Neurospora crassa OR74A: one gene and its partners. Each later gene encodes a partner of the first gene's protein in a complex. Links are inferred from orthologs where the notes say so. Each region holds a gene or a part of one and is shown on either strand. Other genes may lie near its edges. The genes, in order: tim50, tim17 and tim23.

What was found.
Region 2: tim50 (region 1) and tim17 share a complex: the UniProt entries of both Schizosaccharomyces pombe proteins name them as parts of the TIM23 complex. The link is inferred for Neurospora crassa OR74A from reciprocal best matches to the Schizosaccharomyces pombe genes tim50 and tim17.
Region 3: tim50 (region 1) and tim23 share a complex: the UniProt entries of both Schizosaccharomyces pombe proteins name them as parts of the TIM23 complex. The link is inferred for Neurospora crassa OR74A from reciprocal best matches to the Schizosaccharomyces pombe genes tim50 and tim23.

What each region holds. Positions count from the first base shown.
Region 1 is NC_026501.1:8,625,254-8,629,308, reverse strand, and holds tim50 (mitochondrial import inner membrane translocase subunit tim-50), read left to right. Parts: upstream 1-1,224; 5' UTR 1,225-1,495; coding exon 1,496-2,494; intron 2,495-2,558; coding exon 2,559-3,182; 3' UTR 3,183-3,682; downstream 3,683-4,055. UniProt on the Schizosaccharomyces pombe protein: Essential component of the TIM23 complex, a complex that mediates the translocation of transit peptide-containing proteins across the mitochondrial inner membrane.
Region 2 is NC_026506.1:1,284,850-1,289,150, reverse strand, and holds tim17 (mitochondrial inner membrane translocase subunit TIM17), read left to right. Parts: upstream 1-1,459; 5' UTR 1,460-1,721; coding exon 1,722-1,790; intron 1,791-1,957; coding exon 1,958-2,078; intron 2,079-2,146; coding exon 2,147-2,382; intron 2,383-2,452; coding exon 2,453-2,494; 3' UTR 2,495-2,850; downstream 2,851-4,301. Other genes in the region: NCU05624 (L-asparaginase), read right to left, coding at 2,851-4,301. UniProt on the Schizosaccharomyces pombe protein: Essential component of the TIM23 complex, a complex that mediates the translocation of transit peptide-containing proteins across the mitochondrial inner membrane.
Region 3 is NC_026503.1:3,607,748-3,611,481, reverse strand, and holds tim23 (mitochondrial import inner membrane translocase subunit tim23), read left to right. Parts: upstream 1-1,450; 5' UTR 1,451-1,696; coding exon 1,697-2,362; intron 2,363-2,432; coding exon 2,433-2,483; 3' UTR 2,484-3,191; downstream 3,192-3,734. Other genes in the region: NCU00372 (hypothetical protein), read right to left, coding at 1-464, 563-711. UniProt on the Schizosaccharomyces pombe protein: Essential component of the TIM23 complex, a complex that mediates the translocation of transit peptide-containing proteins across the mitochondrial inner membrane.

The DNA of each region.
Region 1 (4,055 bases):
GAATGATGATATGTTCCAGAAGAAACAGAGAAGACGGGAGTGGGAAGGAGAGAAGATGGGTTGGGAGCAGAAGAGGGCAAGTGTTGTGTTAAAAAGAAGATTCGTCAATTGTATCGATTCGGTTCCGTCTCGGCTTGCTAGAACGATGCAGAAACAAAACGAGCAAGAAGTGGTCACCTACCTACCGAGAAGTGCAGGTGAGGGGAAGGCAACTGAGTGGATGATGTTGAATGGTTCAATTGGATGTCCATCACAGCAAAACACGGCATCGCTGTATCGCTGAGTGTGCAGACGATTTGCTTTGACCGACGCATTACATAAGCTGTACTCGGATAGCAAGAGGGTTAGGGGTAGAGTAGGGAAATCACACAAATGGCCTGGATCACCAAGAGGTACAACTACTGAACTGGATTGTAACAGAAAAAAACATCCACTTAGCATATGGTTCACCTGGGGGACTTTTGAGGTGATCAAGTCGTCAGTCAGGTCACCCAAGCTTTCCATCCGTCGTTTAGATAGCAACTGTGTGGTTAGGAGAAGAGCGAAGTGATCTGAATGGCTCAGAAGAGCTTTAGTTATCGAAGAGCCAGTCATACCTTTGAATGCCCGGTACTTGTTTAGTTCGCAACCTCCCTTCATTTACAAATTATACTTGCTCCTTTCCACGCAACAGTAATCTGCTCGTCGAAAAGCATCCCGTCTGTAGGCGCAATGCCAGTGGAAGAGTACATAGTGTCACGGTCGTCTGACGTTTTCAGTATCTGCAGTCCAATAAACGACACCTGTCAAATCGTGCCCGAATCTTCCAACCGACATAGGATCTCAGACACCTGTCGTAATAGATAGTCTCCTGGAGACGAGATCAAGAGTTTTATCTTTTAAGCCATATTGGAGTTGAGATGGTGAATTGGAGATCAAAGACGTGATTGTCATCCATCCATGCAACAACCACAAGCTGAAAGATGACGACATGTCCCCCACTGTCTTTGACGCTTAACTCCGTATGTGGGGCCATTGGGGCCGGGAACAAGAACTCTCAGAACATCAAAGGTCTGTGCACGGCGGCCTTGGAAGATCCAGCGACAGACCCCTCCTTCGTGTCTGATTGGACCGAAAGAAGCGCGCCAAGGCTGAAGTTCAACTAGCAGCGTTGTGACGGAAGGTTCAGGACTCAAGTTTTTTTCTGGGCGAGCAGCCGGCCGGGGCGGGAAGCTTGAGTTTGTGGAATTGGAAAGTTTGGTTTTGGGATATCATATCGCTATCGGGCCCAGCGGATACTGACTGACTGCAACTGACTACGACGCCCTGAATTTCCGTTATCCTACTGTTATCGTCACTTGTTTCCACCACCTAGAGGCAGCAACCAGCTCCCCCCCCCCCCCCTCCTGCAACCACCCGGGCATCCATCCACCTCCGGTTTCCATCACTAGGGGACACTCGACACCACACAGCTCCAAACAGCTGCTGCCCTTTGTGTGTCCAACCAATATCAGTCATGATGCTGTCCAGAGCTGCCGTGCGCTCCATCGCGGGCGCGCGTGTTGCAGCTCACGCGGCGTCGCCTCTCCTGTCGCAGCGCACCCTGCCCGCCGTCTGGACCCGTTCCATGGCCAAGGACAACAAGCCTCCCAAGTTCTCCAAGCCCGAGAGCACTCCCGCACAAAAGGCTACTCCCAAGGCCCCCGAGCCCGCCGAATCCGAGAAAGCTGAGCAGAAGCAGCAGCAACAGCAGCAACAACAAACCCCAGCCGAATCCGAACCCGAACCCGAAATCGACCTGTCCAAGCTCCCCGATCTAAGAGGTGGTATTCCCACCACCCTAGAGTATGAGATGGCCCAGAAGGAGGCCGGCAAGAAGCCGGTCGCCGGTGAGGAGGCAGAGACACAGGCTGAGGGCGCCGAGGGCCCTGAGGCCGCTACGTCAGGCAGCGGTGGTGGCGGCCGCAAGAAGGGCCAGCTCCCCGATTCTGCCTACGTTTCTTCTACTGAGAAGCGCCGCCAAAAGATGGCCAACTGGGCCTTCATTGCCGCTGGTCTCGCCTTGGTGGGTGGAACGATCTACTTGGGAAGGGAATGGGATGAGGAGGAGCTTGAGAAGCACCATGATATACCAAATGGCTGGGGTCTCGGCCTGTGGTGGAAGAGGGCCAAGGCCAGGATGACTGGAACCGTCAGCTACTACCAGGAACCTGCCTTCGAGAAGCTGCTACCCGACCCGGATCCGTCATTCGAGCGTCCGTACACCCTCTGTATCAGTTTGGAAGATATGCTGGTGCATAGCGAGTGGACGCGCGACCACGGCTGGCGTCTCGCCAAGCGTCCTGGTGTCGACTACTTCTTGCGCTACCTCAGCCAGTACTACGAGATTGTTCTCTTCACCAGCGTTCCCTTTGCCAACGCTGAGCCTATTGTCCGCAAGATGGACCCGTACCGCTTCATCATGTGGCCCCTCTTTAGGGAGGCGACCAAGTACAAGGATGGCGAGATCGTCAAGGTAGGACCACCTAGAGCTGTCAAGATTGCACCATCACGGTAGCTAACCAACCATTGTCGCACAGGACCTTTCTTATCTCAACAGAGACTTGTCCAAGGTCATCATCATTGATACCGACCCCAAGCACGTGCGCGCCCAGCCCGAGAACGCCATCGTCCTCCCCAAGTGGAAGGGTGATCCCAAGGATACCGAGCTCGTGTCCCTCGTCCCCTTCCTCGAGTTCATCCACACCATGAACTTCCCCGATGTTCGCAAGGTCCTCAAGTCCTTCGAGGGCCAGCACATCCCCACCGAGTTTGCCCGTAGAGAGGCCATTGCCCGCGCTGAGCACAACAAGCTCGTTGCCGCCAAGGCCAAGAAGGCTGGCTTGGGCTCGCTTGGCGCCCGCTTCGGCATCAAGCCTAGCAAGCTGAACCCCATGGCCATGGAGGGCGAGGAGGATCCTTCTGAGGCTTTTGCTAAGGGCAAGATGATCCAGGATATTGCCCGTGAGCGCGGCATGCGCAACTACCTGGCCATGGAGGAGGAGATCAAGAAGAACGGCGAGATGTGGCTCAAGATGGAGCAGGAGGCCCAGGAGAAGGCCCAGAAAGAGATGATGAAGAACATGCAGAGTTCCGTCTTTGGCTGGTTCGGCGGTGCTCCCAGCGGCGAGCAGCAGTCCGGCGAGTCAGAGAAGAAGGCCTAATCGACCAAACGAATCCGCCCCCTCAGTCATCCGCGACGATATGTATCAACACCTTGTGACCATTTTCTTGTACTTTTACCATGTCTTGTGCTATTTCTTTTTTCCATTTTCCATTCTCTGTCTATGATTGGCGTCACTAAAGGGATTTACCGGACTTCTCTACTCCGGTCATGGTATTCTTCCTTCACATGCGGAGCATTGGAATAGGCGTGGGTCACTTAGGAAAGAGAAGGTTTCATACATCTACATAATCTGTCTGAGGGTGTGGCTCTAGAGGTGCTGTAGAATGTCTCTCAACGAAAAAAAGTTATGACAATTCCAACACTTTTCCATATCACTTCGGGCAAACATCCCTTCTCAGCAAGAAGTCTTGTCTGTTCGCCTCCCTGCATTTTATTCGTGATGCCAGGAGCACGTTACTGTGTGACCGCAAGTCGAGGGAACATCCTAATCGAAGAACACCCACTAGCTCATTCACCTTCTCTCGTTATCGAAGCCGCCTCGCGTTAAGCGAGATAAATATCTGTCCTCGCATTGTCAGCGAGCACAGTCCCACCAGTCGAACCCGGTGCTTTATTAAAGAAAGTCATTGGTATTGAGCTTGGGTTGGCACAACTCAACACCTTATTGCATTGGACATCTCATCGTCCAGTGTTGCGAGGACTATGACTTGTCATCCTTGACATATTCCCGATCAGGGGTAGGATAGCCGATACTAATTCGATGAAATGTTACGCATTCGAGCGAACCCCTCTTGACCACGCCGTCGGGTCAGAACTGTGAGGAGCACAGTCGAGATACGGATCTTTGTGTCCAGGGTCACTTATCAATGTCTGGAGACCTTTTCTTTCCACCAGGTATGTTGGCAAGTCC
Region 2 (4,301 bases), on another chromosome or scaffold:
GATATGGCGTCTCCAGAGATGCTGTCAAGGAAGAAGTGGAAGATTTGGATGAGCATGGTATATGCAGAACGCCATTGCTTCCATTGGGCTTCGTTTCGTGCTCGCCCATGTCGCAATAGCAGATTTCTGTCATGTTTGCTTGCGTTTTTGATGACCCGGGAAAGTGCTTACGGATGCCGTACGATGACGCGAGATCATGGGGTTGACGACACCATCCATCAAGTAGCTAGGAATATATAAGTCCAGTGGTGGGATATTCACATCCCTAAAACCCAGAACGGATGGGTCGAAAGAAGAAGGACGGAGGCATCTCACCGCTTTTCGGATCGCCAACAGCCTCGTTGTTGTCAAGTTCAGCTGAGTCACACGATTGAGCGATCAAAAGAAACGGAATGGCAATGGCTTCTTCCTATAATACTCCGCTCTACCCCAGACAGCAGGCAAACATCCTGGCTCTGATGTCCACACGATCAAGGAACTTTACGCCACACTTGGTGTCTGGGCGAGCTTCAACACTATCAGTTGCAGATAGTGATGGTCCCCTACGAATATTTTGCATGATAGCCGCGAAATCCAGCCCAGTTCCTGGGTCTTTGTTCTGTTGTGGAACAGCTAGATTGAGCCAGTCCAAAGGTACCGTGACATGGGTTGCTTCGAGCTTGGGAGCGTGTGGGTATCACAAGCACAACAAAGAGGTACATTTTCACTTGGAGATCAAATCACACCACCACCCAGCTATGTGGTTTTGAAGACTGGTCGGAAAAATGGCTCAGTTATCTCGATGTTGTATGGGATGAAGCGACATCGGATGGTGATGAGACGCGTCGAGATTGCATATGTCGTACAATGCTGCTGTCGCTTTGTGCCCCTTACTCTTGGTGAAATGTTGACTTGGAAATGCCCTGAAATCCAAATCATCAGAGCATAGAGTCCACAAAGGCTCGCAAGGTTCAAACTCCCAAAGCAGCTGAGTTAAACAGAAGAAGTAAAAGTGATGATCGCCGTGATGTTCGAAACAACTTTGGTTCGGAATCAGCTGAAAGCAGGGCGAAGAGAAAGGGTGGAAGGTACCCGAAGGTACCACAATATGAGGCAAAGTGATGTTAGGAGGACGCCGAAGGATGGCTTCAAGGCTGAATAGCACCCCAAAACTCGTGCTGATATCAAGCCATATCGGTGACTTGGCTCCCATAGTCGGCGATCAAGGAGACCATCAGAAACTATCGCCGTATGGACTCGCCGATTTACGCTGATGTTGGCGCAAAGTGTAGGCGGAACAAGAGTTTCAATGTATCGTCGAGGTACCACCCGCCCGAAGTGATAAGTGATCTGGACTGAAACAAGTGACGCTCGGACCAGGAAAGGAAGCCACCTAGGTCTTGGCACGGCAAGGTTGGTGGGCCTGCCCGGAACTGACCCTTGCAAGGCGGTCATAATTTTCTTTGGCTTCTGAGATCATCACCAAACCGTCTCCGAACTCCGCGCCCGTATCTTTATCAAAAATCCATCCATCTGGCTGCATCCGCTTGCTCCCCCGCCGACTCCCACCCAGCAACGCCACCAGTCCTCCACCACCACCACCTCCCCGTCGCCTTGCGTCCCCGACGACCTCCCTTCATTGTCGCACTCCGAACTAGAACTCGACTGCGACATATTTCCTCCTCTCCGAGAGACTACCCCATCACCGTTTAATTCGCGATCCCCATAAACCACCCGCCAAAATGGATCACACTCGCGACCCTTGCCCGTGGGTTATCCTCAACGATTTCGGTGGTGCCTTCGCCATGGGTGTATGTTTTCTCTCACCATGTTCTTGTTCTCGCACCACATGGGCAGCCACCAGTGATGACACACGTCGAGTGTGGTTGGCCTAAACCCCTCGTTGTCGCCGTCGCCTCAACCTTGTTGACTGCTTGCTGCATGGAGTCAGTTACTGACACAATGTCGCCGACCATAGGCTATCGGTGGTACGATCTGGCACGGTATCAAGGGCTTCCGTAACAGCCCTTACGGCGAGAGGAGAATCGGCGCCATCACTGCCATCAAGATGCGCGCCCCTGCGCTCGGCGGTAACTTCGGTTAGTCAACCCGCCTGACACATCTCACGCGGCTCTTGCCACGGCCGATACTGACATGTGGCATCCAGGTGTCTGGGGTGGTCTTTTCAGCACATTCGACTGCGCTATCAAGGGACTAAGGAACCACAAGGAGGACCCGTGGAACTCCATCCTCGCCGGTTTCTTCACGGGTGGCGCGTTGGCGGTTCGTGGTGGCTACAAGGCGGCCCGTAACGGTGCTATCGGCTGCGCTGTCCTCCTGGCTGTTATTGAGGGTGTCGGTATTGGTTTCCAGAAGATGCTTGCGGGCGCCACAAAGCTAGAGGTATGCATGGGAAGGTCGTTGAGAGGTGATCAACTGGCGGTTGCTAACTCGCTCTCTCTCACACTACTAGGCTCCTGCGCCACCTCCGTCCAACGAAAAAGTTCTTGCCTAAATACAATACAGCGGTCATTTAAAAACCTCGATTTAGGATGCGCAAAGATTGTCGACTATATCATCTCTCTCAACTCCTTTCTCCCACCTGGCCCGTATCGGTTGGGCTAGGCTGTGTATTTGTCTACGCATTTCATGACGGTTCAGCATTTTAGGTGGCGGCGTTCCATGTAACATAGAAATGGGTTTGTTGGTCACGCTTGCCATATAAGGGGGTCGGCGTGGATGCTTTGCCTCAGCGCGGAAGAACAGCCATCCGAATAATATTTCTCTTTTTTTTGGAAGACATCATACGCTTTGCGAATGTGTTACCGGCTAACGTGCTTCAAGACAGAAGGGAACCATGTAACTAAACTACTAGATCTTTTCGCCACTCCAAAACCGCGGATCTTCGGGTCTACCTTCGCCGACATATGAACTGGAGATATCCTGATCCTTTCGAAAGATGCGAGCATACGCGACACCTTCCTCGTCTATCCAAGCCCGAAACATGCCACCGCAGTTATAGTCCTGAAGGATATCGGACCGAGTCTCAACGACATTACCACTTGCGTCCCGCACGACCACCAACTCCAGTCCGATGATGCCACCTTCGCCTTCGCCAGCCTTGCCCCATCGATCATCGGCGCTCTTCTGAAGCTCTCCGGACGGCCCAGCAACCTTGGTCAGGGCCACGACGGAAGGAAGGCTAGAATATCTGGCAATGGCGCCCACAGTTCTCGCGGCAGAAACGCGGAAGAATGAATCACCATTGCCTGTCCCAGAAACACCGATCGACCGGGTGGTGGTCAACCCGCCAGACGAGTCTTGAAGAGTGGGGGTATACAGGAAAGGCGAAGGCAGACAATCGGCGATGAGTCTCTTGAGCGCATCCGACAAAACCACCGCTGGTCCCGGGCTATACAACGGATTCCGCGATCCGTTCTTATGAGGAGAAGTAGGATCACCTTCCTCCGTCCACTCCTCAGCCCAGAACCCAGCCCCGACAACAGGCGTATCACCAATTCTGCCCGTCAACTTATTCGTCATGCCGCCTGTGCTCGTCGCCACGCAAATCACGCCCTCGACATCCAGCGCCACCGCACCGACCGTTCCCTGCGGCAGATACTCGTCCTTACTCCAGGTCGCTGAAACGCCACTAGCAGTGCCAGCGCCAAGCAGATCCTGCTGCTCCCTCTTCTCCCTTTCCAACGCCCGAACGTGCTCGTCCCACCGCTTCTGCGTAAAGAAGTAACTAGGATCCACCATCTCCAAGCCATACTGCCTCGCCAACTTTTCCGCCGTTGGGCCGTGGATCAGCGTATGGCCTTGTGCCGAGGGGACATCAGGCTCCCCATCTCCAGTGTTATTATCAAGCTTCTTTCCACGACCCAAAAGATCGTCCTTCCCGTGCTCCAAAACCTTCTTTGCCAGAAGAATCGGATTCCGAACGTGGCGCAACCCGGTCACTCCCACACCCCGCTTGGCCTGACCCCGACTGACCATGACGGAAGCCTCGAGCTCATTGATGCCATCGCGGGTAAAGACGGCGCCGTGGCCGCTGTTGAAGAGGGGGTTGTCTTCGAGAAGGGTGACGGCGTAGGTGGCGGCTTCGAGGGCTGATGGGAGTTTTGAGGAACTGGAAGGGGAATTGTAATTGGACTGGGTGGGCGTGGTCAGGTAGGTGTGCGCCTTGGAGACGATAGTCAGGAGGGAGGAGCGGTAGGCGACGTAGCGCTCCGGGCCGAGGCTGGCGGGGGTGATGTTGCCGGCGCCGCCATGGATGATTAGACGCGGTTGAACTTGGACGCGGGTAGGGGAGGAGGGTT
Region 3 (3,734 bases), on another chromosome or scaffold:
GATGAGATAGGTCGGCGACAGAAGAGTCGACCTCGCGATACTTGCGAGCAACATCGTCGAGGGAAAGAACCTTTTTGTTCAAGAAGTGGTCCAGACACTGCAGGCCAGACTTGGTCAGTTGCATGGCAGACTTGCGAGCGACAATCTCCACGATGGTCTTGAGGATGTGTTCCTTCACTGCCTTCCCTGTCTCGGGTTTGGGATTAATGGTCGCCGAGGCCACAAGGACATCAAGAATCAGTCTCAGGGCACGATGCGGGTCGTGTTCATACCACTCAAGGTAGAAATGGAACAGCTTCGTTGAGACGGGCTCGGTGAAGGCCCATTCCTTCAGCTTCTCGTCTTTGGCCTTGGCGCATTGCTGAACAAAGCTGCAGAGCCTTACGACATCGTGACCGTTGCCGTGATACTGGCGAGACTCAGAGGCATTGCTGAACAACTTGGCAAATACTGCCTGTGCGATGCTAACACGGGTGTTAGTGAATGTCTGTATATGTGTGATTGAGAACTTCTCACAAAGAATAACTGGACACTGAAGATATCCGAAAGAAAAGAAACCTACGCTGGGAGTGACTCGGTGGGTTGTGACAACAGCCACTTGGTGATGGTGTTGGCATTTTCAAACACTTCGGGGCCCAGTCCGGCTAGCAGAGCGTCCGTGTCAATGGTGCTGCTGCCGGGGGCATTTTGCTGGACTTGGGTTGACTCCATCCCCGCAGTCCAAAAGGGAAGTTATGATTGAGGGACCGGGTTTAGACGTGCATCCGAGACTTCGTTGCAGAGTGATGATGACTGGGAAAGGGAGGCAATAAAGAAGGAGCGAAGAGTGGTAAGTGCCTGACCGTCAATGAGCCCCCCAGTGAGAGTTAGTGAGGGCCTGAAGTTACTGTGATAGTAAGTAATCCACCTCTCTGCTGGGCACTCGTGTAAAGTATGAGCGACGAGTTGTGAAATTTTGGGATCTTCAAAGGCCTATAGCATCACCCACTGTGTGTTTACATCCACTGCGCATGTTCTGGGGGTGAATCCACTCCGGCCACCGTGCTTGTTTTGGGTCTGAAGTTGCCTGCCGCCATGTCAAGAGATACCCCTGCACTGTAGCAGTAAAAGAATCCCCACGAACGAACCGTCCCCGTAAAAGATCCAAAGGCGAAGAAGTCCTGAGAAAGCAGGAATGGGAACATGGAGAATCCGTTGAATATATCTGTTCAAGGCGTAGTCTAGCTTCAGATGCCCACGATGTACTGCAGTTGACCTTTCAATAAGGTCTTCTTCATTACAGCCTCGGTTGAGTTCCACTTCGCCATGTTGACATGTCCCCGAAATCAAAGCCCCAGAGCATGTATATACATATGTAGAGGTACATATGACGCCAATCGCTCGCACGGGCCATGCGGGCGCCATAGAGGTAAATTTTTTCGAAGTTCCGACGTTATCGGGGGCCAAGACAGGCGTCGGTCCAAGTTGCGCGTGAGCCGGAGCCAATTCGAGATCCCATCCGTCTCGCCCACCGACCCGTCCGTCACTCCCCCGAAGATACGATAGCTTACTCGTTTGCCGACGGCACCACCCACCCACCCTTCCCTCCGGCTACCCGTCACCACTCTTGCGCGCAGCAGTACGCGGTCTATCTGCTTCGTGTTCCCCAACTGCTTAACGATCCGATAACCCATCGAACCCCTCCACTTCAGTCACAATGTCCGGCCTTTGGAACACCCTCACCGGAGGCAACAAGAAGCAGCAAGAGCAGCAAGAGCCCGCCGCACCCGCCCCCAGCGCACCTCAGACAACCACCACCACCACCTCCGCTCCTTCATATCCCTCGCCCTTCGATGCTAGCCAGCCCCAAGGTGTCGAGGCCTTTCTCGGTAGCTCTTCCTTCGCCGACCCCACACAACTACACCCTCTTGCCGGCCTCAACAAGGAAACACTAGAATACATCTCGCTTGAGGATACCCCGCTGCCCGATGCCGCCGGCGCCTCAGTTCTGCCCTCGCGCGGCTTCACTGACGACCTCTGCTACGGAACCGGTATCACCTACCTGACGGCCCTCACTATCGGAGGCGCGTGGGGTTTGAAAGAGGGTCTCCAGAGATCGGCCGGCCAGCCGCCCAAGCTGCGCCTCAACTCCGTCCTTAACGCTGTCACCCGTCGCGGTCCCTACCTCGGCAACTCGGCTGGTGTTGTCGCCATCTGCTACAACCTAATCAACGCCGGCATTGGTTACGTGAGGGGCAAGCACGATGCCGCCAACTCAATCCTGGCCGGTGCGCTTAGTGGTATGCTCTTCAAGAGCACCAGGGGTCTGAAGCCCATGATGATCTCGGGTGGTATTGTTGCGACGATAGCCGGTACTTGGGCGGTATGTCACCATTTTTCGTATGGCAGGCGTAGACTGGAAATACACCTTGCTAACTTTACTGTGTCACTAGGTCGCCAGGAGGACGTTCTTCCCCTCCCCCCAGACCAACGAGGTTGACTGAAGTGGGGACGAAGAATGAAATAGGAAACAAAAAAAGTCATCTTCTGTTCCCTTCATCCCACGACTCTCTGGCCATCTATCGTTGCTCCATGAAAAGAGTGCATAGCTAGCCAGCCTTCTCTATTATTTTAATCTTCGAGAGAACTGACAGAAGAAAACCAGTGTCTTTCTCACCAGCACGGAAGACCACTGCGATGAAGATGTGTGTGTGTCCTTGGTTCAACACGGAGCAAAAGGGCAGCAGACACGAACTGGTGGATGTGTACGAACAAGAGAGGGAAGAACGAAAATAAAGCGACACTGGGCTGGGCAGGGCTTGAACAAGGCAGGACATGGAAGAGGGGCCAAAGGGCAGGGTGTGTGCATAGTGGTGCATAGCGCAAGGGTTAGTCTCATCTCTCTCCTCCCCGTGTGTGGAAAATTGTATGTATTATAGCGGATCATATGGACATAGAGCGCAATCGCCCTGGTTGGGCATATGGGGCATTGCGGCAGGCTTCATTCAAACTTTGAGTCTATTGCGGGTTGTACATGACTGTTGGCTCCGGGTTTTATGATAAGATAATAGAGAGGTAATGTTTGGTGTGGGATATATTGGGCATGTCACCCTGCCACACGTTGGTGTCGAAAATGACTGCAAGCAGGTGTGAGTTCAAAGTTCGAAGCGACTTAGGGGCAGGACTACGAATGAACATATCCACTCTCTTAGGATAAGGCCCATCTCCGACGAATTCCCTATTTGCCACAGAACTGGAAACCGTACGCACATTGTTCCTCGAGTATTCCCCATGCAAATCTTTGGCTTGAGAACAACAGGCAAGCACCAGTTTCAATACATGGAAGCAGAGAGATCAAGACAGGGAGGAAAATCAATTCTTCGATAACCGACAGACTAGTGAGCTACAAGTGGCAGTAACGATAATAACCTTGCTTGCCTCTTTATGCTAAGTCCCTCTACGAATCCCGTTATTGCTTTCTCTAAGATCGAAGACTAATAAAGCAAGTTTCCCATCCATATCTTTGGTTATAACAAGATCGAGCTAACATCATTTGGTTCCTGGTGTGGGATGCTGTTGCAAAAGGAGAAAGGCGAGCTCGACATGATCATATGTAACGTGTAATGTATCCCCACCTTCTTCCTAAACCACCATAGAAAGCCACTTGAAGAATATACAAAAACTCGATAGTATACCAACAGAACACTTTAGCATAGAAAGAAGACAACGTAATCATCCACCTTTGTTAGTTTAGG